3 linked regions of the Mytilus edulis genome follow. The protein of the gene in region 1 purifies or fractionates together with the protein of each later gene. This does not show direct contact. Links are inferred from orthologs where the notes say so. Each region holds a gene or a part of one and is shown on either strand. Other genes may lie near its edges. The genes, in order: partitioning defective 6 homolog beta-like, partitioning defective 3 homolog and lethal(2) giant larvae protein homolog 1-like.

What was found.
Region 2: the proteins of partitioning defective 6 homolog beta-like (region 1) and partitioning defective 3 homolog purify together in Drosophila melanogaster (affinity purification with western blotting; 7 studies listed by BioGRID). This does not show direct contact. The link is inferred for Mytilus edulis from reciprocal best matches to the Drosophila melanogaster genes par-6 and baz.
Region 3: the proteins of partitioning defective 6 homolog beta-like (region 1) and lethal(2) giant larvae protein homolog 1-like purify together in Drosophila melanogaster (affinity purification with western blotting; 5 studies listed by BioGRID, with this or other methods). This does not show direct contact. The link is inferred for Mytilus edulis from reciprocal best matches to the Drosophila melanogaster genes par-6 and l(2)gl.

Annotation. Positions count from the first base shown.
Region 1 is NC_092348.1:80,171,758-80,182,607, forward strand, and holds the start of partitioning defective 6 homolog beta-like, read left to right. Parts: upstream 1-6,035; 5' UTR 6,036-6,157; coding exon 6,158-6,220; intron 6,221-10,622; coding exon 10,623-10,845; intron 10,846-10,850.
Region 2 is NC_092345.1:88,189,300-88,199,818, reverse strand, and holds the start of partitioning defective 3 homolog, read left to right. Parts: upstream 1-6,019; 5' UTR 6,020-6,352; intron 6,353-7,510; exon of another isoform or gene 7,511-7,595; intron 7,596-8,105; 5' UTR 8,106-8,208; coding exon 8,209-8,334; intron 8,335-10,519.
Region 3 is NC_092352.1:31,188,801-31,199,380, forward strand, and holds the start of lethal(2) giant larvae protein homolog 1-like, read left to right. Parts: upstream 1-5,356; 5' UTR 5,357-5,655; coding exon 5,656-5,703; intron 5,704-10,580. UniProt on the Drosophila melanogaster protein: Essential for the development of polarized epithelia, for cell polarity associated with asymmetric cell division of neuroblasts during development, and for oocyte polarity formation.

The sequences.
Region 1 (10,850 bases):
TTTAGTTACTAATTTGTAATGGTTTAAAATTAAATCAAATAGTTGTCAGTAAAAGTTTAATAAAGGAACTGTCCAAGGGAGACAACAAAGATAATCTGCCACGGTTTCCTTTATCCAATACACCTCATCGCTATTTAGTCCACAGCATAAAATTGCAATCCGGGAAAAACAGTAGTTTATACAACTTCCTGTTTGGGTCAGGCCGCCGAATATATATAGAGGTCATCAGTAGTGAGCTGAGGGAGGAAAAACTTTAGAAAGCGATCATCAAGAAACTTTGATAGAGTATGATCCACTTTTCGAAATTAAAATTAAAGTAAAAAAATATTTTGTTTGAAGTATTTAGTATAATTTACGGTAGTTTAAACAGGTCTCATTAAAAAGTATCATGCATGGTGAGTTGTTTAAGCAGGTTCCCAGCTAGCTTCAACTGGATGAAAAAGTTGTGTAATTTTAGAACTTATCCTGAATGGAATAAATAGCGATTAGGTGTATTTACTAAGGGAAAATAAGAAGTTAGCAGTGGTACCAGTTTGCATTGGTACCAGTTTGCTTTTAGTAGTACAAACAGACATTGGTACGAGTTTGCAATGGTATGATCATGAGATAACTATAAATTCTATCTTAAAGATGTTTCATTTTTTGAAGTTTGAACAGAAGGAAATTTATATAGTCTTTCTTTTGGTAGAGGAAGCCAGAGTACCCATTGAGAACCACAACCTTTTACAGGAAAACTGCCAACTTAAGAATTAAAAGAAATCTGGTTTGTTATTGTTTAAAACAGACAAATAATGTGAATAAAGTTCAGAAATTATAGTTGAAAAGGTACTGGCATGGTGAAGCAAATTATTTTGTCATGATCACTCATCAGAAATACTTTCATTTTGTTCTAGACTATGCTCTTCAACAAAATTACCTTAAGAACTTTGACTGAATTTGTCTTAGTTGGTTCCGTATTCATAAGTATAGCGTCGATCAGCCAAGGTTTGAGATGCGCTGGTTTTTTTCTTGGCATTTTGGATTTCGTGGAGTGTTTTGGAGAAAGGAGATTATAAGATTCGGACAATGTCGGAAATAGCATGAAATATCCGGCTTTAGAAATAACTCCGTCTCTCTCTTTTTTTACAACTCAAGTCTCTTGGTTAAAAATACGCTCAAAATACACAAAGAAGACGCTCCCGACGATGACTAGGAATTAGAGACGGCTGTGTAATGGTAGTCTCATGTTTTGCTAACTGTGAATGATCTCTTTAAAAATAAAGTCTTTGTTTACAGCTTTTTGACTACCTGTTGAAGATCTCTGAAGATACGAACATGGTTTACTTTTCACAAATTTGACTTGGTGGAGACAGAGACATATTACGTAACGGTACCCAAATTGCACAGAGTACCCAAATTGCAATTATTTAGCAAAAGTAGCAGCGGACATCTTACAAGATTTCCTAGAGACTAAACACTTTGTATTTTTATGATTTGACACTATGCACATCTTTCAATATAGGTGAAAATATTTAGATTTTTACAAAACGTTCACAGTATTTATCAATAAATGAAGTGTTTACTGAAAAAGCAAAATGTACTGAAACGTTGCCATGCAACGTCATCAAAACGTCATCTTTTTAAAATGACCAAATACAATATGTTACAAGTATCCATTTAAATTTTTTTGTTTAGAGTAAGCATGGACTAATATCCAATTGTTCAAAATATTTGAAGAATTTAATCAAAAGCTCTGTTATTAGACTTTTGACAATGCAAATTTAAGCATGGATGCAATTTGGGTACTACTTATTTCAGAATCATTGATGATTTGGAGGTCAGTTTAGACCAATTTTTCTAAGATTCCATATGGATTAAAAATCAAATTGGTGTACCTCCATAATAAAGAAGGATACAGCTACAAAATAAACACAAAATGGACATTTTTTTCTTTATAATAAAAAAACGTAGATGAAAAAACTGTCAAAATAGGTGCAATTTGGGTACTGTCATGTTATACACATAGTGTACATATGTCTCTGGTGGAGAGTTGTCTCATTGGCACTCATACCACATCTTCAGGCTTATATCTATATAAAATTATTCATTTAGATTACTGAGAGTTGCCTAAAATAATTGCATAGCTGTGTATAATTTTGCTAGCTTATAAATGCTTAATTTGTTTACACACCTCAGTGGGGATATGGAGATGAATATTTTATATAATCAACATTGTAAATGGAGACTATTTTAAGTCTCAAGAATTGTAAAGAAACGGCAGATATTGAACTTAGACTGGAGTACATTCTGTCTTTTTAACTAACTGAAATAAATGAATGAACACTATCAAACGGTAATTTGCAAACCATTAGAAGATCAGCTATCTTGTCTTGATTGACGTACTTAAAGTCTTTGTCTTCTGTAATCTGTACATGTGCCCCTATCTGTTCTGTGTTTTTTCAGTATTGTTATTTTTATAACCGTGACGTATTCTGCGTTACTATAACAGTTTATCCCATTGCTGTTAAGTTTCTGTCGCTATCTTCTCCTCTCACATATAGAAAAATAGTATTGAACTTTTATTTTTCAAATAATCATGGCATTATCAAAATTGTTTTTTGCTGTTGTGAAATTTCTCGCGATATGGTTTACGCGTACGTCAATGAGATGGCAACCAAACGAAACGGAAAAAAAGCAAAGACATCTAGAGGTCAATAGACATGTTTTTGAATTTGGGTTTTGATGCTCCCAAGCGTTTTTGTTTTTTTATTATTTATTGTGTATAGCCTAATTTGGGCTTTCTAACCTTTTGATCTAGAGCATTCGACCGTATATCCGTTGTAGGTCATTCTCGAAAAAAAATTGTACAATGGATTCATTGTTATATTTCTCCATTATTCCAACTATTAGGAACTTTCACTGAATATTTAGAATCTAATAGTTTGTGCATCTTCTGTTTTACTGTGAAGTCTTTGTAATTTAGTGCATGCATTTATTTGTTGTCAGTTGTATAAGAAGTTCTCTGCCAAAACTTTTACAAATGAGGAATTTCCATTTCTATCTCTAGAATCTCTGGTATCATTTTGTATTGTGCCATGATCTTCTGTCTTCTTAGCACGGAATCGTCTTGTCTGATTTTCCTGTAACGATTCGTCCATTACTTTTACAACTTAAATAAAGGTCATTTATCAAATTTATTGAAATATGAACATCACGTAAAAGTCATTAAAAGTGCGAGTTTATAAGGATAATTATTACTGAATGCCTAGACTGATCTCCTGGGTAACCACTGTATGTCTCTACTTTACATTTGTATTTTAAATTCATACTATGTATGTTAATTTATTTGTATATGTCTCTATACCATTGTACTTTGGTTTACGAGAATAAAGATTTACGCATATTAAACGATTTTCTTTCAGTTAAAATTACTATGCTATTGAAATTATTGAACCAATGCATGAGTATACGTTTTTTTTTACATTTATTACTGACGAATCTATATCTCAACAAATGATTATGTTAAACAGTAATTGTTGATAGCAAGCTTAATAACTTTCGAGTTTGATACCAAAACGTGACATTGATAAACAATCAACACGGCAGAGCACGCGGAACACATGTAAAACGGCTGTAAGATAATTTGGTGTATTCAAGTTGTTCTTTAAATAAAAATCCTTTTTTTTTTTTTTTACTAATTACCTTCCAGTACAAAAGCCAAACAATGAATCTTGATGACTTTGACAGGTTTTATACTAACTTAATATATATATTAAAAGTAATTTACAATCAAAGTCTAGACCATGTTAGTATTCCTCCAATAGCATAATTTAAACATTTACATTTTTAAAAAGAAACTATTTAATACATTATTTAAAATCTAAGGAAGTTCTGTTTTCATATCTATAATAATTCATTATTTAAAATTACTAAATATAACTTACTTTTTACATACTGGGCATGCGGTATCAAAATGTCATAGAACTAAAACCGCTATATAGTGTATAATATTTTACTAGAGTTTAATTTTTGATCGATTTCGACTATGCCTCGGCCTACAAAGGAACTTTTTAAAAGTGTTGTGTTCACTTTTTGTAAGATATTATTGAGTCATGACCAATGTTTCCTTATTATTTTACACAATTACAGTGCATGCATGAGCTGGAATTGTCTTGGATGGTAATTGCAGCGGCCTACTTTGACTGAACATTGCCACGTGAAAAATCCCAACTTTTGCAAATTTTCGGTTTGAACAGAACAAAGTATCTACCCAATTTTGTCCAAATGTGGGGATATTTTTTTAACGATTATATTAAAACGACATAAACATTACTTTCTAACTTTTCTAGTCATATCTGTATCTGTATCTGTCGTGGATATGTCGTATAGTTACCAAATCTGGCTTTTAAAATACAACGGGAGGGAAGGCGCCGTCCAATTTTATTAAGATCATATTGATCTCTGATTTCGTTATATATGCAGTATAACGAAATCAGAGATCAATATTTTAATTAGATTGGGTATATGTACATGATGTAGTCATGATACCGAAATCAGAGATCAATATTTTAATTAGTTTGGGCGCCGTCGATTTACTGACGTTTCGCGAAGGCAGCTTTAAAGCTCTCTACACTTGTTGCGCGCACAATAGTGTCTTCTAGGTGGTTCCAATTTATTGTTGTGGACACACTGAAGGATGAATTTGAATGTTGCGGTGTTTTACTGGTAGGAATGTCAAAACACCTAGTATTGTTTCTCACTTGTTTTTCAACTAAGTTATTTGCTTGATAATTGTTAAACTTTTTAGCTGCATGTGATGGTTCTTCTTGGTCTTCCTAATTTGAGGAAGTCGTCTGGATCAATAGCAGGAACCAGCACCTCAACCACCTTGTACAAAAATATAAGTGTTTGGCTTGTGCGTTTCAGTTGTAATTCCTGTAGCTCTAATTTTGTAAGCATGTTTGTTATCCAGCCATCTTCTCTAGTTCTGTAATCGTCTGCCATAAATATAGAATGTCAGATCAACTGTATCAAAATATTTTTGTGATCTTGTATTATCATAGCTTCATCGATGACTTTGTTTTATTATTTTAATATGGAAAGTCAATGAATAAATTTCATTTAGAATCGGCACATATGTACAGTCAGAGACATATATACACATGTGTATATATGTCTCTGGTACAGTCAACAATAAATATGAGCTTGAAATAGCTCTTACTACCGACCTAAAAATGAACAGATGATCAAGCATTGTAAATAAGCCTGACAAAACTTCACAAGAGACAAAATGAAAAACTGAAAATAACAACTATGTCAACTATATATGTCATCTTACGACTTTCAACAATAAATAAAGCCCATACCCACAGGCACTTGTTTTCTATCCATGGCAAGATCTACGATGCCTATATACTTGCTCTCTATCCATGGCAAGATCTACTATCCCTTTTCTATCCATGGCAAGATTTACTATCCCTTTTCTATCCATGGCAAGATTTACTATCCCTTTTCTATCCATGGCAAGATCTACTATCCCTATATATCGATAGTAGTCTAGATCTTGCCATGGATAGAAAACAAGTGCCTGTGTCCGATTGTCAGTTTTCTCTACATTTTAAAACAGAGATATTATAAAATTGTATTTATACTAGTAATATGTCTCATTTTTATATCATTTTATCATTCTTATATATACTGCATGACAGGTCTGTCTCTAATTATTTCAACGGCCGATTCAAGTTGTACATAGTTAATTAACTCATCATAGATACCAGGACTAAATTTTGTAAATACATGCGCAAGACGCGCGTTTCGTCTACAAAAGACTCATAACTTATTATATGAATCTTTTATTATTTCAAAGGTTCCCGCCTTGGTGTACTTCAGAAATGCTTGTACATGTTGTATTGTGATTAAACATACTTGAATATTTCTATAAATAAGTCAAACAAACAATGAAAAATACATAGACTTTGCAGTTTGCAGAAAAAAACCCACTGCATATTGTTAATGTAAAAGCTACTGTCTAAAACACGCACCTGTCGTTTTGTTTCGAGATTATACTACACAATTTGTGACGTCAGAGGTAAATGTTCATTCATAAACAACATAACACCAACGGTGTGGAAATAGAAAATAAAAAGTATTAAAAAGCCCTTTGGGCTGTATTTTCATCATGTCACGTTCATCGAAGACTTTTTTGCATCAAGGATACAGTTTGTTAGAAGTCAAATCCAAGGTAACTTTTAGTTTTGGGTATTTCGTTATGACCTGGGTCACACCTGTTCAACAGCTTCATCCAGGTAACAATTTTATTACTTCGACCAAAAAAGCGTTATGACGATTTCGGGTTATTTCTTGCCGAACATTTGCAGTTCTATTTTACATTTATAGGGAATGGAGAATAGGAAAATTTTAACACTAAAATTTTCTAAAAATACACCCTTTTATGACAGGTCATTTGCGAAATTTGCATGCTTGAATACACATGTCACACAATGAGTCATTATTTACATATTTTCTTATCCTGACAAATTTTATGTATTAACAACTATTTCATCAAAATAAAAGATAATGGTAGGGGTGGGGGGATTGCACATAGCATAGAAAAAATGGGACTTAGTGTTGAAAGATCTCATTGATACTGTTTATAATAGTAAAGAAGCATTATATTAATTTTCAGTATTTTTTTTTTTTTAGAGTAAATAAAATTTAGCAAAGTGCTAATTTTTGCATTTTTTTTATGACTATTTTGAGCAAGTTGCAGGGCGCTGCACAAGTATCTGTATAGAAGCATTATATTTATTTTTAGTATTTTTTTTTTTAGAGTAAATAAAATTTAGCAAACAAGTGCTAATTTTTGCATTTTTTTATGACTATTTTGAGCAAGTTGTAGGGCGCTGCATATGTATCTGTATGGTATTTTCAGTCTAGAAACTTTTTAATAGTTTTAAAACAATGCTTCAAGATCTTGTTTTGATTTAATTATCTTCTTTAAAAAAAAAAAGAGGGCCATAATGGGGGTAAGTTCAAGATGAAAGATGGTAGAAAATCTTGCAAAATGATGTTAACATGGTTATGGGTAATTTTTGGTGCATGTATTTGACTATACATAAAATTTACACTGATTATGCGGTATGGGCTTGGCTCATTGTTGAAGGATGTATGGTGATCTATAGCTGTTAATTGTGTCATTTGGTCTCTTGTGAATAGTGAATCATCGGCAATCATACCACATCTTCTTTTTTATACTTTCTTCAAGATTATAAACAAATTTTAGCTGATTTTGACAAATCACCTTATTTTTTTGTTTTCTTTCCAAATTAAAGGTAACAATAATTAGTTGACACCTGGAACAAATCACAATGAAAATATTTTAATGAAACAAGCTAAAAATTACTGTTTGATGCCTGAAGGGACAGGACATTCCTACCCTCTTTAAACTTTTCTTATTGGAGCATCATTGATAAGTCTTCTTTAAACTCAATATGATAATGTTGCACTGTATACTTACTACCTAAACTTTACAGATTTTTTGGGTTCCTCTAGATCTGTGCATATGACGTGTATGATGTACATGAATATTTTCTTTGTTGGGATGAATATGTAAACAAACAACACTGATATTTTGTAAACAAATTTCATATTACATATACACATACCAATATACCATAGATTTCCTATGTATTTTACTATAATTTTATCAATTGTAAAATATTGTCATAGACTGGAACGTTTGACAGAAGGATTATTATTTGATGCAATTATATGTTGTAAACAGTTACATAGTTCTAATGTAAATACATGGTATTCTAGTATACATGTAGATTATATTCAGAGAGAGATTGAAATACCAAATTTTGACCAATCAATTGGTTCTTTATGTCAGTATGTTAAAAATAAACTATGTAAAAGTTTAAATCATTTTGGAATAAACTGAAGTATCAAACAATTAACTCTGAAAAAGGGAAGCTTGGTACTTGTTTTTCTATAAAAAATTGTTTTAAAAAAGAAAAATATTTAGAATTAAAAACCAATTGTTCAAAGAACAATTGAAGGTCTTTCCACAAGTTAAGATCTATTTTATTATCAAAATATTAAAAATCAATCTAAAATGTCAGTTCCTATGGCTTTATAATGTATAAATATGAATTTAAAGCAAAGGCCAAATCTAGAATGTGCAAATTACCTATGACCTTGATCTCAATTTCAAGGTCATAAACCAAGGATCTCAAATCAAAAGACCCTAGGTCTTTATTATATATGGTTAATGAGTTATATCACTTTACTCATAATTCTAAATATAAGATGGGCGAAAACTCCTATTTATTGTTTACGCACTCTGTCAACCAAAATTTATAAGTAACGGCATGTCGTAACTAACAATTTAGTGAAAATAAGATGTTGATATGTTGTAAGGTTTTGAAAATAAGTAAAAATAAGCCAAAATAAAAATTTAGAATATGACCTTGACCTTTGACCTTGACCTTATTTTATTTTTTTGGACCAAGGATCTCAAATCAAAAGACCCTAGGTCTCTATTACTTATGGTTTACCAGTTAGAAATGCATTTCACTTATATCAAATACATGAGGGGGAATAACTGTCATATGGAGTCTCCGGATAGCTTCGGTCGAAACTAAACTACTAATCCTGAAGATGTAACGAGCAATTTGGTAAAATAAATTTGTCGTAATCTTTTACGGTTGCGAAGGAGTAGTGGCCACAAGAAAAACAGTGTTTGGGGAGATAACTCTTACAACGTAAAGTATTTTGTTACGCGGTTGAAAATTTTTAAAGCGTATAAACTATACGATATCATATTCCAAATATCTAAGCGACATCTTTTGAAACATCAACAATACGCAAGAAAAAATTTAGGCGGAAGAAAAAAAAAAAAATAATAATCTGACAGAACAAAATCAATAGGCTAGGTCTTTCCACGGAAAGGTGGAAAGACCTAATTAAAAACTAAGAATTTATCCATGTTTATGTCTTGTAAGATGTTTTATTTCTTTCCTGTTTTTCAACATTTACATTTGGAAAGTTGAAATGTTTTAACTGAATGGGTAAATTTAAATTAATTATGAAAATTGTTAAAATTAGACCAATAACGGAAATTACTGCCCAGTTACAAACAGTACCAGGGGATAATTCATGATGATTTCTTTTTGAGTTATATGTTTCAGCACATGGATATTTGACTGGAACTTTAGCCTGGTAAACGTGTTGTAAATTGTGAAATATAAAACATATTAAAAATGACTCTCTTCTAAAGTCTTTTATTGATATAAAACCTTCTTACTTCTCACTAGACAACACTCCTGTCAGGTTTAATTATTATATATACAACTGTATGTGGATGAAAAATAAAAGTTCCCAAAACATTAACATGGCAGCAATTGCTTTTACAACCTTTAAGGCTTTGATTCAGTTGCAGCTGCTTGTTAACATTAATGTCTAATCTAACACTTTTTGTAATGGAAATGTAAATGTTTTGGATAATATATAGTTTGTTGGACTGTTGAGTTGTTTTTGAAAGAGGCTGTCCAAGTAAATATCAGGCAAATCTTATGATGTGGGTGGCACAACATAATTTTTTTCCCACTGAATTTTTGGTTCCAATGCAATGTTTATGTCATACAAAGGATATATATGTCAAAGATATTTTTGAATCAACAGTGGATGGCTCAGAAAATGATTTTAAAGTTCACTAACAATGCAACAAAATTTGGTACAAAATGAAGAGTTATCTCCCCTTTTCAATGAATTTTCAGTACTTTCTATGTATTTTTTCTTTCTTCCAGTAAATAAAAAACAAAATTTAACTTGGAGAAAAAATTAATTTGTGATATGAAATAGATGAAAACATTTTGAAAACAAAATATGTCATGTGCCATCCACTGCCTGGTTTTTCCATGGACACCCTCTTAAAGTTAATCAGAGATATCCTAGTTAACAAAATGACATAACTTATAAGCTGTATGTCAGTTGCTGATCAGGAATATGTTTATAAAACTATCTGCTGCTACACATTTAAATTCAACATGCTACATTTTGTACATGGTGTTTGGGTTGGGTTTTTTTTCTTCATCAAAAGCTCCTTAGAGCTATACTATTTCATGTATAAAAGGAATATGTAGTGTTTATCAATGAGACAGCAACTAAATTACACAGAGCAAAAATGACATCTAGAGGTTAACATGTGGTTTAGTGTCTATATAATATATGATAACCTCTATATTTACATGCATAAGTTCAGAAATTTGTGGAGAAATTTAGCAGAGACATTCAAACATGGCCAATTTTTTTAAAACAAATAACAATGAAAAGTGAAAACAATAACATTTTCTTACTTCTGAGTCCTGACATCAGACACATATATATATTTAATATGTTTAGTGACAAAAGTCCAAATTTAAATGACATGATTTGGGCTTTAATTTTATGTACACCTCTTGCAGTCTTGTCTAACAAAACATTACCAGATGCAAATCCACAATTTTGAACAAGGGTTTTATAAGGGGGTGGGGCACCCTGATCCCTTAAATCCACCCCTGATCACCATTGTTGTTTGAACCATTTTCTGTCAGACTAATCTTTAATGCTGAAATGTATACATTTACTACTTTTATTTTCAGCTTGATGCAGAATTCAGAAGATTTTCAGTTGACAAGTCAAAACAGCGCAAATTTGAAGATTTATATACAAAAGTAGAAAAGCTGCACCGTTTGAAGAATGACCCATTTGTAATAACATATTCGGACAAAGATGGTGATCTGCTTCCCATTAACAATGATGACAATTATAACCTTGCCCTTCAAACAGCCAAACACCTTCTACGTATTATGGTGCAACGTAAAGGTTAG
Region 2 (10,519 bases), on another chromosome or scaffold:
TTGGTGTTTAAAATGAAAGTCTGCTGGAACATGTGTGTTATTTCTTTCTTCTCTAGTATATGCTGGTTGAAACATTTGATACACAACAACAGACTCTGTGTCTAGTAGAAGCAGACTTGCCCTGATTGTGGAAGTTGTGGGTTCGACCTAGCATTAAATAGTAAGAGCAAAGAATGGTCTGTTTTGAAATGTCATAATGTTTTAAGGTAGTTTGATGTGTCTACCGTTCTTCACTAAGCACCAAGCTTTAAGGTGTCAGAACAAAGACCGGTTGGCTTGTAGACAGCATAATGTGTCTAGGTAGTGTGACACGTCTTCCTGTGAACTGTTTGATTGTGAACTAGCATGATAAAAATACAGTGTAAGTTTAGCACAAAGTAGGGTTTATATCCAATTCTTGTCCAGAATATGCTTTTAACTTGCCACTGGATGGAAAAGGTCCCTCTTGCAAAAGTTGTCTCATTGGCAATCATACCAAATTTTTTTTTATATAGGTAAAACTTTAGAAGCAAGGATAAGATCAAGATTCTTTTATATAAAATGGTGGCACACAATTAGTTTGCGCTCTATTCAAAATGTTTTTGCTAATACAAGTTTCAATGAAATCTGTCTGACAGGTCAGAACAATACTTATTATGATGTTTGACAGAATAATGGAGAATGATTCCTTATAATCATTCAAACTTTCTTTGTAGGGATACAACTGTACATAGCTTTGGAAACGATTGGGACAAACATTGTCACATTGAATATACTTTATATTAATCAAAATTAAACAAAAACAAAACACATGATAAAGCATGTTCTATTACTAATTTTAAAAGTATCACTATTGTGATAATTCAAAGGCTTTGACTTTTGGTAATACCTTTTTTGTCAATGTTGCAGTTTGAAATCATCTTATTAAGGAAAAGTTTACTTCATTGCTAAGAATCAATTGCAGTGTTATGAAAAAAAAAAATTAAATCTGAAAATTCAATTTCGATGTTATTTCAATGTTTGACTTGTCTGTTCACTTTTACAAGGTGGACTGATTGAAAATGTATATTAGACAATATCAGGAATACTGAATTAACTATAAAGGTACAAATCATGAAAAGGCAATAACATGGCTAGGGTGATCTAAACTTTCCAGATATCAATCTCAATCTCAGCAAGAACCAACTGTATAAGCCTTAACAAGTCCAGTGTTTGCAGAGACAACCACAAGTATTCTTTTCTATGTTAGGAACAAATATACCTTGGTTTCATTGCACAGATTCGATATCCAGTAAGATTTGGTCACCCCCTATCCCAGAAGTAAGCAACATAAACATCAAAGAGGCAGGTGAACTTAATATGCTACTACATTGTTTTCAAAATAACGACCAGATGGGCAATAGGTACGTAATTGGACCCTGGTGTACTGTTGTCTCAATGACAGTCATACCACATCTACTACTTTTTACATCAATCCGAGTGTTGAAAACTGAGGTTTGCAAGGTGGTGAACAAGAGGCTTTAACGAGCCTGTGTCGCTCACCTTGGTCTACGTGCATATTAAACAAAAGACACAGATGGATTAATGACAAAATTGTGTTTTGGTGATGGTGATGTGTTTGTAGATCTTACTTTACTTAACATTCTTGCTACTTACAATTATCTATCTATAATGAACTTGGCCTATTAGTTACAGAAATATTTTGTTAAAATTAACAAAAATTTACAAAATTTATGAAAATTGTTAAAAATTGACTGTAAAGGGCAATATCGCCTTAAGGGGTCAACTGACCATTTAGGTCATGTTGACTTATTTGTAGATCTTACTTTGCTGAACATTATTGCTGTTTACAGTTTATCTCTCTCTCTATAATAATATTCAAGATAATAACCAAAAACGGCAAAATTTCCTTAAAATTATCCATTCTGGGGTGGTAATCCAACAATCGGTTGTCCGATTCATCTGTAAATGTCAGGGCAGATATATTTTGACTTGTTAAACAATTTTACCCCTGTCAGATTTGCTCTAAATGCTTTGGTTTCAGAGTTATAAGCCACAATCTACATTTCACCCCTATGTTCTATTTTTAGCCATGGCGGCCATCTTGGTTGGCTGGCCGGGTCAACAGACACATTTTTTAAACAAGATACCCTAATGATGATTGTGTCCAAGTTTGGTTAAATTTGACCCAGTAGTTTCAGAGGAGAAGATTTTTTGTACAAGTTAACAGACGACGCCGGACGACGACGACGGACGCAAAGTGATAAGGAAAGCTCACTTGGCCCTTGGGGCCAGGTGAGCCAATAAAAAGGGACAAGACTATATAATCGAAACTTCAAAGCCTAGTGTTTTAAAAGCATACTTCATGACTTGAACTTTAATATAGCCAACCTTTTAAGAACTACATTAAACTTGGAATAAGATCGATAATCATGTAGTTGCAATACAGCAACAAAGATTCCCAATGCATATTGAAACCAAAACCGGCAACGCCATTGTAAGAGAGAAAAACTATCAAAAGACGATTTGTCAAACGACAGTCTGCAAAGCACAACATGGGAAAACGATTGAGTGAGCAACTTAAACCCCAACAGAAAAAACCTAGAGTTTTCTCAGGAGTAAGTCATGTAATGTGTGTATATCCTCAAATAGAATTGTGGGTGTGTGAAGCAATTGAGACCTCTATTGAAGAAGAGAGTTGTGTTTACCTCCTTTTTTTCATATTTTATGTATTAAAGGACATTCTGTTTTTGCAGTCAACAAGTAGAAACATGTGCTTTTTTTTCATGATAAAGAGAAAATAAGCAAAATTTGAAAAATGTTTGTTTCATTTATCAGTATTTAACTGACTTATTTGTTTGTTGTTGAACATTTACATATTTATATCGACAGTTTGGAATTAAAATGTTTTGGTCATGATAAATTTGTTAACCTTCATGATCTTTTATGGAACTTATAGCTAATCTTCAAGATCAAGAAATAACATCTATATATTTTTAAATCGTACAAGTGTGGACACAGATCAGTGTTGAAAATGTGTTTGGATGTTTTACATTGTTTTCATAGGGTTCTATGTTAAACTGTGTTGCAAAATTTTAACAGCCAACTTGTACAAAACACTGAAAACTAGCAATGTTTACTTTTGATGTTTAAGACTGTCTTGGAGGAGACACTATCAAATGGGATTGTTAACCAAATGATTCTGATAAAATGGGTTTCATAACTTTGATTTGGGATAGCAGCAAAAACTATTTCAATTTGGAAAGGAACGCATTAGATGCACTTCTGCACGAAGCGACTTAAATAAGCAAGATTGTATGTATCTATGCATCTGAATGCGTGTAGTTTTTGTATGGTTCTATTTATGTTCCTTTCTTGTCGACATTTCTTACTTGGGTTTGTCCACTAAAACTGTATGTTTGTGAAGGATCTTCCTAGTATTATTAGTAAAAGATTGCAAAGGCAACTGATAAAAATTCTTACGGGTCAAAAACATTATTAAATTGAGAATGGAAATGGGGAGTGTGTCAGACAACAACCCGACAAAAGAGCAGAAAACAGCCGAAGGCCACCGACGGGTCTTCAACACAGCGAGAAAATCACGAACCGGGAGGCGGATTACAGCTAGCCCCTAAAAATGTATACTAGTTCAGTGAAAATGGACGTCATACTAAACTCCATGTACGGTGACCTGTATAGCTGTTAGGTTTCTGTGATATTTAGTCTCTTGTGGAGAGTTGTCTCGTTGGCAACATATCACATCTTCTTTTTTATATTCAAAAACATATAAATGAACTAAAATTAAAAATCATACACGACAAACAGGGGCCAGTTTACAAAAGTTCTAGTCCGATGTCAGAATAGGTACTAAACAAAATCTCCATGATACATGCAGTCACTGCATGACAGCTCCAGTCACATAATGACATGTATACTGATTGAAAGATTATGTCTTCCTCAAATGAAAATTAAGTACAATTCCTCCCATAACAATGAAAAAAAACCTTACCTTTTTAAAATCGGTTATGAAAGGTCATGACATGAAAACAAATTAAACAATTGCATTGAAGAAAAAAAAATATTGGTCAAATTTAAAAACAAAACAATTTACGATAAAAAAAAAATATGACAGACATGAACCAAAGACAACCCTTAAACTATAAACTCTTGGCTTAGGAAAGGATAAGCACACTTTTGTCAGTTTAGAAGGCAAAAAGAACTGCATGTGAAACGTTTTGTTTGCTTTGTGTTGAAGGCCTCAATGTTACTTTGAGATGACGAACAGCATTAAAAACGCTTCTCTTTTGCTTTTTCGAGTTGTTTGCTGTGCAAGTACTGATGGTGTGGCATGGATGGTAGCCCATTTCCTTTATGTTACTATGTCCGAAGGTGTTCTTCGGATGATATTGAAAGTACTTGAAAAAGATCTCAGGAAAATTAAAACAAACGGACTTTTTAAAAATATCTGAATACCTTTTATGATCTTTTAAGTTCTTTTCGAATAGGGCAAGGTTGTCAAACTGATTTTGAAAATGAATTTTTAATTATAAAAATGAATTCCTTATATTAAAAATTGCGGATTTCTTAATATTTAACTAGCTGTCAAATTCATAATCACCGATTTGACTCAAATTCTCATATTTGATTTATGAAAATGTAAAACATTTATCCAAATTATAAAATAACCAGTATACTGGGCATATGCTCGATAATGTGTAAGTTCGTTTCGTGTGTATTTTAGTCTAGACGCAATCTGATTAACTTCCGATTAAAAATAAATGTTAATTATCGTTTTTAATTATTTATTTATTATCGAATCAGTTTGATTTTTGTTGCAAAAGAGGGACGAAAGATACCAAAGGGACAGTCAAATTCAGAAATCTAAAATAAACTGACAACGACATGGCTAAAAATGAAAAAGACAAACAATAGTACACATGACACAACATAGAAAACTAAAGAATAAACACATGAACCCCACCAAAACTAGGGGTGATCTCAGGTGCTCCGGAAGGGTAAGCAGATCCTGCTCCACATGTGGCACCCGTCGTGTTGCTTATGTGATAACAAATACGGTAAATAGTATAATTCGGTAGGTCACATTCATGAAAGGGAAGGGGATTGTAGTTACGACGTAAGGAACAAATCCGATATCATTTGTTAAACGGTTGTTCCATAACGGTCAACCAACTCGTGATGGCGTCCGTAAAATTTACGGACAGATGATTTCAACTTCACCATGATTTCAACTTCACCATTTGGAACTCTTGGTTTAATAGCTTCCTTGTGAGCAGCAACCCTCTATCAAGAAAATCATGATAGGAAATGCAAGCCGAACGGGAATATCGTATCAATTGGGAGATATATACCCCGTATGCAGGTGCTGCTGGAATGTTGCTACTTAGAAATGGAAAGTTCACAATTGGAAAGCTGAAATCATCTCTTTTGAGTGAAGTGAATAATTCATCATCAATGTTTCTTAGCTTATTTTGACTGACAAAATTGAACCATACTGGCTACTAAAAGCGATATATTATTTCACTATTTCTTGATTGAATAACAAACAAAAAAATCAGATTTTGTATTTATCTCGTACTGAGCTAGTGCCCTTTTAAGAAATAGTGTTTTTCTTTTTTTTATATTAGAAATTAAGTTTTCAATATTAGAAAATGATTTCAAGGCTTAATATGAAAAAAATATTTCTTAATATCCATAAAATGAATTCTTAATAATAAAAAATGAACTCTTAATATCAAAAATGAATTCTTAATATTAGAGAATAGCTCTTTTTGTCCACTTTTGCTTGCCATAAAAAAAGTGACAGGTGCACGAAAATGCACAGTATATGATATCAATCAAAAGCCTATCCAATGTCCTTGTTCTTCTGAAACATAACTGAATAAAACAAAAACAAAGGTGAGAGAGGTCATTTGAACAATGATTCTAGGAATATTTTAGTATTTCAACAACAAGCAGACAGCCGGCAAAGGTGATCGCCTCGCAATCTAACAAAAATAAATGAACAGTTACATCCCTTAGGAAACTCCAAAGCGGAAACGAGGCAAGTAAATATATCTCAACATGATATGTGTCATCAAAGTTAATTGAAACAGTTTACCTTGATTGTTTTCTGCCAGATAAATGATTAAGATTGTTGTAAAGCTATACCAAGTAATTCAATTTTGTATGGGATTACCGAAAACTTATTAAAAAGTGTGATATTGTGTCTAAAAACTGCGCAGACGACCGTGTTTTACCAGGTGTTTACAAATATAATTTTACTTCGGGTATGTCACCCGACCCCCGCGTCTTTTAATTTCCTGGAGTATCAATTCATTTCTTCTGACACTGGATTATCACTGCAGAAAATAAGGTACGTTTTCGTATTCAGATTCTGTATCCAATTTCTTGTCACAGTCACAGAATTTAAACATGTTAACAGGTTAAGCCACATACTGACATAGTCTAGAGACTAGATACAGATACTGATAGTGATAGCAAAGTAAAATCGAAAGAGTAAAGGATCTAAAAGTAGTCTCATAAAAGTAAAGCAATATCGAACTCATTATTCATTGTACATTTATAGTAGGTTGCTGTTGTACCATAAATACATTATTTACACCACCATTTGGTATAGATATCTTTCCTTTCATGTATATGTACAACTACGGGTGGGCTGTAAGATCCTAAGGGTATTGTATACATTACATGTCCATGTACATGTGACATATATATGAACTAGGTCACTTCTGTCTGATGAACATAGAAGATGCAGTGAAATCACTAATAGTAACAATAATTAACAATGAAAATGTGATGTTTTGCTTATTTTTAATTTTTAAATGATATTTTCTGTACCAATCAATGATTTTTTTTATTATTTCTGTCGCCTGTCGTACTGACAATACTTGTAGTTTGATTGGATTTTGAATTTATTATTTTTCTTCTGAGAAAATCTTACAAGATCAGATTTATTTGTACAATTCAGGGGTGGTTCTAGACATTTTCAAAAGGAGGGGTTCCAAACCCAGGATAAAGAGGGTGTGTGTGTGTGTGGTGTCCCAATTCAAATGCATTGATCGTCAAAACAAAGGTAGAGGTTCCCAACCATGGACCCCCCTTCTGGATCTGCCACTGCAATTCATGTGTTAATTCGAGTATGCACAATCATGACAATTGAAAGTTCAAAATTTTTAAAGTTGTGATATTTGTATATTATTCAATTGTTTTTCATCTAATTAAATATTTTTTTTACTAAATTAGATAATAAACTACATGTAGTAAGAGAAAATTCATGGAGGATTGGTCATCTCTAATAACATTAAACTAAACTGCTTTGATATTTTTTTTTTGCATTACAATAAAATGTTTGAAGGGGGATATATAACACATAGAATTGGTCAGGAGGCAGGAAACAGACATGTTTTTGTCTACCTCACTTATGAAGAAACAAATGTGAAAAAATGATAAGTACACATACTGCATAGACATGTTCAATGTATACTAAAATTTTCAAATTTATTCAGGAAATAAAGCCATTTACAGAGAAAGATGTAACCATGAGTATGCTTAGCTGAATCAAGGCTCCTTTTTTGAAATCATGGACCTGTCACAAGGTCTGCATATAAATCTATATCTACAAAGTACATGCACATTTCATATTCAGATTCTGTATCCAATTTCTTGTCAAAAATGGCATCACAGTCACAGAATTTAAACATGTTAAAGAGCCACATAGTCTAGGATATACAAAGTACATGCACAATATACATCTTCCTTTGCTAAGCAATGGTTATTACATTGCAAATCTTGAAATGTGCATTAGGCGACATTTAAAAGAATGCATGTTTCCCCTCCTCTGGTCTACCCATTAAAAACAGACCAGGAAGGCAGGGTTTTTTTTTTTAGCGTAATGTCCTAGCATGGTGACATGAATGGTTTGACTTGTTCAGTTGTTTGTGTTCAATTTGAGTGTACATGTACTCATTTAGATTATCAATCCCTTTGCTTTCAAGCACTTTTTATTGAAACAATTTTTTTAACCTCAAGGCTTATTTTTGACCAGGGTGGGGAGGGGAAACAAAAATGTAAAAATTTAACAGTTAATAAAATTTTGTTAATTTCAGGTTGATCATACTTTTCGTTGATGATGTAGATATATAGATGTGAATGATCTGAAATGCATAGGTTATGTACATGTGTAGACTGTTACAATTGGTTTCATGAAGAATGCCAATGAAAGTGACCGTCTGTTTTGATAGAGTCAGAGTTATTGTTCCCTGTGGAGATGGTGAGATTCCAGTGCATAGTTTAATAGAAAAGGCCATCACAAGATTTAAAAAAGCAACAGTTAAGGTAAGTACAAGTGTACAAAAAAATGTTATCCTATAGGATTGTTTTCTAGTTTGAATAAATAACATGTAAATATACAAAAAGTGAAAAAACATCGGAAAGAGTATTTAAATTCCTGGTCAATACAAATGTATATATACAATTACTTCTTTCAAGATGTAGTTAAAGTTTTGTTCAGGTAGTGAATTTTGTATGTGCATATATATATATTAAATCCAACTTATGTAATGAAATAGACATCAAGAACGATCAAATCTAAACATTTGAAATACAGGGATGTGTTTATATATGTACATGTACACTAAAATGTTAGGGATCTATGACCAAAAATAACCATAAAATAAGGTATAGGTGATCAACAATGAACAGAAAGTACATTGTGTATGTTAGTCTAGATGAGGTATCATCAATATATTACATGTACAATGTTCATGTATGAATTATAAAGATAGTTAGATACACAATGCAAGTACTGATATACGTTTCGGTTCAAAATATAAATTTTCATGTACATTGTACATGTATGATGCATTGTAAGGTATACATTCTGAATTCTAAAGGTTGGTTTGAATATTCGCAAAATAAATATCTATCTATTCAGTAAAAGTTTTTTGACGATCATATGACTACTTCAGTGTTTTAAGAAAGGTGGTTGAATACTGCTACTTTTTGTCCATTGACCTGATAGCTTCACTTTTGGCCAAAGCCTTGTTGACCTAGGACAATTTACATGACATGAACATGATTTAGAATACTATTGATTTCTAGTTAAATGTGATGGAATATCTAAGGTAAAGATATAGTTTTGTAGCGGAGATTTAAAATCTCTGTTTACAAAGTCCTGATTTGGTCAGCGTATTAAACAAGTGAGTGAGTCAAAATGCTACAATATATTCTGTGGTTTATTTTTGTGTAAAATTGTATTTGCCTACACAATTCTTCAAGAAAAAATACATTTTTTGGTAAAAAGTACACATTTATTACATGTAAATACAAAAAAATATGCAGGCAATTTTTCTTTAAACTGATATAGTGTAAATCATCTCTGTATAAAGGTGAATCACTAAGAATATATATAAACCTTTAATGAACTTGAATTCTTATCATGGTAAAGTTGATAAAATAGTTTATTCTACAATGGATCATATATTAATAAATGGATTTATCAGATTGTGATATTGTCATCATAATGTCTAGGTTTAAGGTTGTCTCAGATGGTTGACTCCAGTACTGTTAAGATATTTCAGTTATGTAAGATTATCAACAGAATTTACACCTTTATCTGACATTTATTTGTTCAAATATTACCCCATCTTATTGAATTATAAGTAGGTCAGTATCTGTTTACCTGAGGTTGTTAAGAAGGGGTGTGTCTTAGATTTGTTGTGCACTGAAGGAGACAACTGATAAAGGAAGTGAAATTGGTTTACGCTTTGTCCTTTTCAGATATTGATTGTCTAAATTCATTTGAATACACCACATTAAACATTGACAATAGGATGGCCATCATGATCCTTTAATGTTATTAATTAATCCATTTTAGTTATCTGTTTAATTCCCTGTGGATTTGACTTGCATATCATATGTCCTTACATGGTGGTTAATTGAATCTTACTAAATTTGGTAAAACATTGAAACATGTATCTGTGAGATTTATAATTAACTCTAAAACCCACATGTATGTAAACATTGACTTGATTTTGTTGAATAATAAGCATGTCATAAATGTTCTTGTTAAAATTATGTCCAATCTGATTAAGCTAAGTATGGACTTAAGTCTATTTTTTTTTGGTAAAGGCTGTTATGAACCCTAAAAAATAACAAAACAGGGACTGACATAAACACTTCTCACGTTAACATATTTTTGCTAAAACCATGATATATTACAAGTTAAATCAAGCTTTTTCCATTTGTTTTGTTTAAGGATGTTTGCTCCTCTACTTTTTGAATTTTTGCCCGATTTTCGAAATCCTCTGGTTTTATCCAGATTTATCCATGAATTGACATTAAAAAAAATTGCCCACTAACCACTACTTTTCTTTTCATATTTTTATTACATATTATTTAAAAAGCCATATTCCAAATCTTATGAAATCCTTGTTATTTTTCATAGTTTTTTTAAACAAAATAGGTGCCAATGTTAAGTGAACGAAAAATCTAGAGAGAATTATTTCCCGCCAAATTTTCA
Region 3 (10,580 bases), on another chromosome or scaffold:
GGGTAAATAACGCAAACAGTAGCCAATTAAAGGGTTGAGAACTCATGGTTTGGGCAAATAATTGTGTTTTCCTTTGAAATAATTGAGTTATTGAACCCTGCAATGGGCAATTGCATTGGGTTTTTTATTATTTTTATTCAGTGATCACGCAAATACGCAGCTTATCTGGAGCTCTGAATTAATATAAAATTTTTATGTGCCAGCTTGAGGAGTTGAGGGCTAAACGAGTAAAATACCATTGCAAAGAAGCAAGAAATTGTATAAGGAATGGTATAGTTACAAATCCTTGAAAGAAGTGAAATGAGAACAAAATAATGGCTTCTTATCTACTACCTGAACGATAACAGTTTTTTCGTGTTTTCCTCTGTTGGTGTTTATCGCCCGATTTACTTCCGTTTACATGGTCACGCTAACTACCATAAAACAACAAGTGCGTTAATAAATCAAAGGGCTTGATAGCTCTAATAGCCCAGTCAAACTAAGATTTAACCTCAAACTAATTGCAAAAGAAAATATTTTATTTTTAATCTATAGCACTATGCCCTATATATACACAGATAAAAGTCAAATAAAATCTAACTTGAGGAAAACTCAAAATCAGCATTTTTAATTTCCTATGGAAATTAATATTGACTCTTGCAAAAATGAGTCTTTTTTTGGTCATTTTTTTGTTGTTTTTCTTGAAATTTATGTTAAGTATGATACGTTGATGGGGTTATAAGTTTGTATTTGACTAAATTATATAATCTTCTGCTCATGAAATGTACAAAACCGAAGTGTAATGGGTAGTTTTATTTTTTTCATGCATTTTTCATTCAAGAAATTGCAAATTTGAAGCTTTATAATTGTGACCATTTTGAGAAAATAATGTGAAAATTTGGTATTGTTTATATCTGTATATTATATTTTTTCAGCAACACGATACTTAACTTAAGAAACTTTAAACCACAAAAAGAAGAATACATGCTTAATTATTTTGATTACATTTGAGATTCTTTACCTTGACATGTTGAAAAATTCAATAGATATGGTCAACTAATGAATTACGAAATCTAGATTATAGCTTGATAAAAGATATGAAAACACCTTTAAAGTTTATGCCCTTTATGTATACAGAAATCTAAGTCCATTTTTAAGTAAAATACGGAAAAAAATGTAACTTCTGGATACTATCTTATGATCATAAACAAAGCTTCTGTCCAAGTTTGGTAGAAATCCAGGATAGTTTTAGAAAGTTATTAAAAATTAAAAAACTTTAACCACAGAGTGAATATTTGTGGACGCCGTCGCCGACGACGACGGAGTTTAGGATCGCTTAGTCTCGCTTTTTCGACTAAAGTCGAAGGCTCGACAAAAAGATGTGGTAAAGTAAGTAAGTAAGTAAGTAAGTAATTTTTATTGGTTTAAAATCCAAAATTACAGGATTGATACCAAGACAATACAAATTTGTTATACACAAACATACAAACATATATATATCATACCAATTTCATAAACATTATATGAGGAGGTGGTACCACAAAGTTATTTAGTGCTTAATAAAGCATTTCTAGAAATGTAAATGTCGCTTATAAATTTAACAATAATTCTAATCATATTTAAAAAAGAGGGAACTATTTCACTAATTTTGGAAAACAGTTGGTCTCTAATTATATTTAGTTTTGTACATTTTAAAGTAAAATGAAATTCATCTTCTACTTCTAAGAGGCACAAAGGACAAATTCTTTCTTCTACAGGGGATTTAGTGTGACGCCCTTGTTCAATTCTAAGAACACTATTATTAATACGAATTTTAGCAAAATTCCCTATTACTTTTCTGTCTATATTTAACAATAAATAGGTTTCCAATTTATAATTTTCTTTAAGCTGTCTATATGTTCTCAGCTTATTACCATGTACTGATTTATTATCACAAAATATATTTTCTTTCCAATAATTAAGATATCTATCATTAAGTTTGGTATGAATTGCATATAATAAACGCCTTTTTGAAATAGTATCATGATTTTTCCAAACACGTGAAAAATTTAATGTAGCAAGTAACTGTTCAATCTTTTTAGCAAATCCATTGGTTAATTGCAGGTTGGAACAATATACATCTTTTAGTAAACAATTGTTATCAGATTTGATCACATGCAACAAAAAGCCAATTGACAGTTTTAAAGCTTCTATAAAAACTGGATACATACCAAGTTCAGCTAGTACTGCTAAATTGACAGCTGATTTATTTATGGTATGAGTGCCATGAGACAACTCTCCATCCAAGTCACAATTTGTAAAAGTAAACCATTATAGGTCAAGTACGGCCTTCAACACGGAGCCTTGTCTCACACCGAACAGCAAGCTATAAAGGGCCCCAAAAATGACAAGTGTATTAAAACCACTTACAGGAAAAATAAAATGCTCCGCAGGGCACAGCTTGATACGACCGCAGAGGTCGAACCCTGAACAGTTGGGGCAAGTATGGACACAACATTCAAGCTTGATACAGCTCTGAATTTGTGTTGTGATTAAATAGTTGACACAGCATAGGTTTCTGACACAGAATGAATGTGGTCTAAGAACTTAAAAATTTTAAATTGGACATTTACCAATTATGGTCCAATATCCAAATCTAAATACATGGTTAGATTTAGCATATCAAAGAACCCCAAGAATAAAAAAAAGTTCAATTTTGGACCCTTTAGACCTCAATGTGGACTAATTTGATAATGGGGCCCAAATATCAAAAATATAAATACATAGTTAGATTCAGCATATCGAAGAACCCCATATATTCAATTTTTGTCGAAATCAAACAAAGTTTAATTTTGGACCCCGACTTGGACCAACTTGAAAACTGGACCCACAGTCAAAAATCTAATTACATGATCAAAGAACCCCAATAATTAAATTTTTGCTAAAATCAAACTAAGTTTAATTTTGGACCCTTTGGACCTTCATGTAGACCAATTTGTAAACGGGACCAAAAATTATGAATCTAAATACACTAAATATTTCTTGCTATTGCGCAACACTGTGAAACTGAAGATTTCTTGCTATTACGCAATATTGTGCTATTGGATATTTCTTGCTATTGCGCAATACTGTGCAATTAAATCTTTCTTGCTATTGCACAATACTTAATATAATAATTTACACATCCTGTTTGGTGTATATCTCCTGCCATATTATTATTTGCTTTTATATATAAATCAGAAATAACCAACTTAAAGTGGAAAATTTTAAGAAAAAAAAGGGAAACCCCCCCCCCCCAATTTTTTTTAACCCTCTTATGATTCATCACCCCCAAACTCAATACCAGCTTTCCCTTTGTAGTATGGTATCTTGCAGAACAATTTCAGAGAGATCCATACACTTGAACACAAGTTATTGTCTGGAAACTAGAAAAATGCTTAGGTTTTTTTTTTGCCCCTTTTTGGTCCTAATTCTTAACATTAAGGGCAATTACCCCTAAACTCAAACCCAGCTTTCCCTTTAATTGTGATATGGAACCTTGTAAAACAATTTCACAAAGATTTGTACACTTACACACAAGTTATAGTCCTGAAACTAGAAAAATGCTTGTTTTTTGTCCTTTTTTGGCCCCTAATTCCTAAAATTTGGGGCAATTACCCCCAAAATCAATCCCAGCCTTCCCTTTGTGGTATGGTACCTTGCAGTACAATTTCAGAGAGGTCCATACACTTGAACACAAGTTATGGTCTGGAAACTAGAAAAATGCTTATTTTTGGCCCCTAATTCCTAAACGTTTCGGGCATTTACTCCCAATCTCAATTCCAGCTGTCCCTTTGTGATATGGAATCTTGTGGTACAATGTGAGAGAGATCCATTCACTTAAACTAAAGTTATAGTGCGTAAACCAATGTGTCTTCGGACGACGACGAGGACGACGACGACGCCAACGTCATACCAATATACCGTATAAAAATGCAATACAAATTGTATCAACACGGAAATTGTTCGACCTGTTAGGCAAATGCGTTTTGTTTAAATATACTTTTTCACTTTTTTGGTCGTTTGGAAAATGTTGTTTGTGTTGTATTTAGACCCTTCTACAACGAAATTTGTTTTACATGCACACGTATAAAAATTGCTGTTTTTATCCAACGCAATCATAGGTTTGAACGTAGTTTTAAATTTAGACTCGTTTATCGTCTAAACATCAACCCAACACTGTTAGATCTATTTATATATTGAAGATAAAAGGCATGAATATGACAAGCACTATATAGTCTATATAAATTAAAATGACACATGGATATAGCACAAGACATAAATAGTTACAGACACTAACATGATTTACATGTTTTCTAAAAATTATAATATGAAAATAAAATTATGAAAATTGTCATGACATTTTGATAATATTAATAGACTAGATTATAATGAGTGAAAATTTCGAAAGACAACCTGATACCTTAGGATGACCCACAACAGTTATTGAAACTTATTTCCAGTGGGGTCCCTTTAAGAAGAGACTTCCAGTACATACCTATACAGATTGTCCCTAATTTTGAAACTGCTAATCCTTAAAAAGTAAAGCTTTTAAAGGTATGAAGCCAAATTTTGTTGATATACACGAGCATGTGCTGTTATAAATGAATGGAATGACGTAAAAATAAAAAAATAAAAAGATGTGTTTCAATTTATTTGACTGCAACCCAAAATTCTACAAATGTTATACAAAACCTTTCAGTAATGATATTTACTCTATATTATCTGTCTGTCTGTCATAGATTTATTTGTGAATGAAAAAAAAATATTAAAAAGAGGAAACATATTTTGGCAATTCTTTTAATGCCTTTATTAAAATTTTGATGTTCTATCAATGTTCCGTTGATTTAAATATTTTCATCATATAGTTATTTTTTGTTTCAATTCCACTCTAGGAAGTGCAACTGAAAGTAACACATTACAAATATCACTGATTTTATGGTTCTGGTCCTTCCTAGATCAAATATGTACATGATTTATTTGAAACAAAGAAAAGTATATGTAGGTTTATAATTATATGAACATTCAATATTTCATTTCCGTGTGAAAATGTTTTACGAAATCCGAGTTTATTGTTTTGTGTGTGTGGATGTCATAATTGTAACATTAAATATTCCTTTTCTTATTCGATATCTTTGTAATAATTTCATCAAATAGGTATACCTATTAACAAATGATTTTAGAATGTGTACACCTCTTTTACAATCCTACATCTATCCCAAGAAATCCTATCAAAATGATTTTAACACTTGAGAAAGTTGAAATACACACGTTCAGAACTTTTCTAACTCATTGTTTCCTGTGGTCAAAACTCATGCAGTTGTTAAGTCGGATTGTAAATGTTCACGTTCTAAGTATCAGATTGACAGGAAATAATGAACCATAACAGATGACTTTACATGTTAAGGAGTAATCACTACCATTGAAAGATTAAACGGAAATCTTGCTAGTGTTGTACACGATCGAACATTTAATAATGACAGAAATTATTAAATTATAATGACCCCCTGCCGCCCCCTAAAATGCACAGACCCCCTCCGCTGATAAATAATGACTGTTCTCCAAGTGTACAGACATGATCATCTACTCATTACAGCCTCAGACGGGATGCTATTCTATTTTTAGAAGCATTGAATCACCATGGATTTATAATGAGATATGTCTGACTATGTGTATATATGGTACCAAATTGGAACAAAGAAAAAGGTGAGTTCTAATCGCGCAGTGCTATTCATTAGGGTTGTATATAACAAGCAGTCTCTGCATGTCAACTTCACACATAATACATGATGGTCTTGGAAGAATAGATTCTGGGTACTGACGTTAATAACTACATGTACGTGTTATAGTGGACACTTGTCTCTTTATTTTTCCTTGTACATTAAATTTTTTAAATCTTTTCTGTTTAGTCAATTTTTGGTAATATACTTTTGGGGTGGCTCGGTACTTATACATCCGACATTTTACAAGATATTTGAACATATTCAAATGACAGGGGATGGGGATGACCGCTGGGTCAAGTAGGATAAACGGTACTGTAGTTCCTTCGGAAGAACAGAGTAATAAATCGGTTTAACTTAAGAAGTAAATCGGTGTATATGAACATAAATTTACAGACTGACAAGTCGACAGGTTGACACTATATAGGTCGACAAGTTTAAAAGTTGACAGGTTGACAAGTGTTAAGGTTGACAGGTTGACAAGTGTTACGGTTGACAGGTTGACAAGTGTTATTGTCGACAGGTTGACAGTTTGATAAGTGTTAAGGTCGACAGGTTGACAAATGTTAAGGTCGACAAGTTGACAGGTTGACAAATGTTAAGGTCGACAGGTTGACAGGTTGAAGGGTTTAATTTTACAATTAAACAAGTAAATAAAAGTACATCATCCATTAAATAAAATAAAATTAACTTCAGTACTGTAGTTCCTTCGGAAGAACAGAGTAATAAATCGGTTTAACTTAAGAAGTAAATCGGTGTATATGAACATAAATTTACAGACTGACAAGTCGACAGGTTGACACTATATAGGTCGACAAGTTTAAAAGTTGACAGGTTGACAAGTGTTAAGGTTGACAGGTTGACAAGTGTTACGGTTGACAGGTTGACAAGTGTTATTGTCGACAGGTTGACAGTTTGATAAGTGTTAAGGTCGACAGGTTGACAAATGTTAAGGTCGACAAGTTGACAGGTTGACAAATGTTAAGGTCGACAGGTTGACAGGTTGAAGGGTTTAATTTTACAATTAAACAAGTAAATAAAAGTACATCATCCATTAAATAAAATAAAATTAACTTCAGTACTGTAGTTCCTTCGGAAGAACAGAGTAATAAATCGGTTTAACTTAAGAAGTAAATCGGTGTATATGAACATAAATTTACAGACTGACAAGTCGACAGGTTGACACTATATAGGTCGACAAGTTTAAAAGTTGACAGGTTGACAAGTGTTAAGGTTGACAGGTTGACAAGTGTTACGGTTGACAGGTTGACAAGTGTTATTGTCGACAGGTTGACAGTTTGATAAGTGTTAAGGTCGACAGGTTGACAAATGTTAAGGTCGACAAGTTGACAGGTTGACAAATGTTAAGGTCGACAGGTTGACAGGTTGAAGGGTTTAATTTTACAATTAAACAAGTAAATAAAAGTACATCATCCATTAAATAAAATAAAATTAACTTCAGTACTGTAGTTCCTTCGGAAGAACAGAGTAATAAATCGGTTTAACTTAAGAAGTAAATCGGTGTATATGAACATAAATTTACAGACTGACAAGTCGACAGGTTGACACTATATAGGTCGACAAGTTTAAAAGTTGACAGGTTGACAAGTGTTAAGGTTGACAGGTTGACAAGTGTTACGGTTGACAGGTTGACAAGTGTTATTGTCGACAGGTTGACAGTTTGATAAGTGTTAAGGTCGACAGGTTGACAAATGTTAAGGTCGACAAGTTGACAGGTTGACAAATGTTAAGGTCGACAGGTTGACAGGTTGAAGGGTTTAATTTTACAATTAAACAAGTAAATAAAAGTACATCATCCATTAAATAAAATAAAATTAACTTCAGTTTTTAACCTTTTTTACAAGTATTGAGTTATAACTTTTATATCTTTTTTTTCAATCAGTCATTTTGTCAACTTGTCAACCTGTCGACTTGTCAACCAGAACTTACTTGTTATTATATCAAATTATCAACTTACCAACCTGTCAACCTGTCAACTTGTCGACTTGTCAATCTGTCAACCACTTATTTCAACCATAACATTTTTTAAATTGTCAACCTGTCGACTTGTCAACCACTTATTCCAACCATAACGTTTTTAAAATTGTCAACCTGTCGACTTGTCAACCTGTAAATCACTCATTTATTTCAGTTTAATGTAAAATTTAAACAGTTTTAACTTTATTACTCATGAATACATACGCGTATGAATTTATTGCAAAAGCCGGAACTATAGTACCGTATATCCTACTTGAGCCTGACCGCTTTGGTCTTACCCTGTATATCATTCAAATTATTTTGGAATGATAAATCAGAATATATATGGTTTAGGGGTTGGGATCTGGACCATTTACAAGATATATGAACATTGGGGGTGGCGGGACCCCTAGGGACTGACCCTTTTTATCAATCAAATATTCGTGACATGACGAACAGGAATATATATGGTCTAGGGGTGGGGATCTCGACCGTTTACAATATATTAGATCATTGGGGTGGGGACCCCCTGGGGACTCACCATATATATCATTCAATTCCTCGTGACATGACAAGTGCAAGGGCTGTATAGCCAGTCAAGGTCGTAAAAACTTCCATATATATCATATTATCATAAAATTGTTGTAAAATGATTCCCTTTATGGGTTCTTGATTAGATTAATATAATTCTTATCTTATCTTATGTACATGAAAAATAGGAATATATATGGTTTAGGGGTAGGGATCTCGACCCCATATATATTATTAAAATCATCCTGACATGGCAGAATATATGAGGGGGAGGACAGGGGTAAGGGAGACAGGGAGAAAGGGGGTAGGAGAAAGGAGAAAGGGGGTGGGAGAAAGGAGAAAGGGGGTAGGAGAAAGGAGAGGAAGGCTGGGAGAAAGGAGAAAAAGTTTGAGAAAGGAGAAAAAATAAAATATCTCTCCTTTTAAAATTTTTTCTAATATTTCAAGAAAAAATATCTCAAAAGGAGATTTTTTATTCTAATGGGAGAAAGGAGAACGGGGGTAGGAGAAAGGAGACAAGGGGTGGGAGAAGGGAGAAGGGTACCCCCCTGTCCTCCCCCTCATATATACTAGGCCAAAAATGAAACGTTACATTGGTTTTTAATTTGAAAATAATTATCACATATATTAATTTCAAATATTTTCATGATGAAAACTAGTAACCTGAATGATTTACTCATTTATAAAAATATCGGAAATGACTTGACGTCATTTTCTGATTTCAAACAAATAACCATTTGTTCAAAAATTTACCTGTATAGAGTTGGAATCGAGTTGTCCTTTTTGTCATTTATTGTGTCGAACACGATTGTTAACAAAAGGTCGCATTAGAAAATTTAAAAAAGTTACACGTAAAACAGTGCCCGTCTACGCCAAAATGAGAGAGAACGAGCTATTGCGATGTTGGCAACAGGAATGACTCAAGTGCAGGTTGCAAATCATTTGAATGTCTCTAGAATGAATATTGCAAGGCTTAAGACTCGTTTTTAATAGAGATACTGGCACAAAAATGATCGCCCCCGTAGTGGCAGGCCACATCCGCATCATTCATCTCCGGAATCGATTTGTAAACACAAACTGCACGAAAAACCCACGGAAGACATAACAACAGAATATCTGCTCAAACAGTTCGTAACCGATTGCGTCTAAGAGCGCGTCGTCCGTTGAAGGGACCTATCCTTACGCAGCGTCACAGGATGGCGCGACTTCAATGGACACGGGTACGGATTCGATGGAATAGGCAAACATGGAGACAGATTCTTTTTACCGATGAATCCAAATTCAACTTGAAATTAAGCGAATGCAGAGCCAGGGTCTACCGGAGACGCAATGAACGATTTTCTGATGCGTGCGTGCAGGAAACAGATCGGTTTGGTGGTGGCGGAATCATGGTATGGGGCGGAATTGCCAGGAACGCACCGAGCTCAAAATCATCGTTGGTAACCTAAATGCAACAAGGTATAGGGACGGAATTCTGGCTCCAGTTGTTCTCCCGTGTTTCTCTGAAGACATCGTTTTAACCACGTTTTTTCAGCAGGACAACGCCCGTTGTCACGTGGCACACATTTCGATGACCTTTTTGGAGAATAGCCATATTCGTGTGTTGCTTTGGCCAGCAATGTCTCCAGATTTATCACCAATTGAACATCTTTGGGACAACTTGGACGACGCGTATCAGAAATAGTCAAAATCCACCGGAAACGCTAGCCCAGCTCCGAACAGCACTTTTCAGGGAATGGAACAACATCCACGGTAGGTAGAGTGTCCGGCTAGGATCGTGTTTTTTAGAGTGATTTGGTCTATTTTTTTCGATTGCAGTTCGGGCTTTTTCAAGTGATAAAACATGCGATAAGTTCAATTAACGGATATTTCGTAATTATAACAGTTTTTAACATTACTACCCATCTTATATTGAATACTTTATATGTTTTGATCAACAAAGAAGCTCAATTTCCTTGTATTTATAAATACATCAGTGTTTGTTATTGTCCGGGTTTTTTCGAGAGCAACTGTGAATTCGTTCGGGTTTCAGTTAGACAAATGGTCCGGGTTTTTTACAGAAAATTTGAAGTATTCTAGGCTTTAAAAATAACTATTTTTCTAGTTTATAACTGTAATTAAGTGAAGGACAATATCGTATATTCCCAAAAACATATCAAAATGAATCTTTTTTCAATTTAATGTAAATATTCTGTTTGTAGAGCGTTATACAACTACTCAGTTCCAGTGTTCATTTAGAAATAACTTGATCCTTAACAAAACGGTGTCTAGAACATTATGCAGGGATCTCATATTCTTATTAAATTCATTTTATGCTACTTTTGATTTTACAGCTAATAAAATTTCTTGTGATGA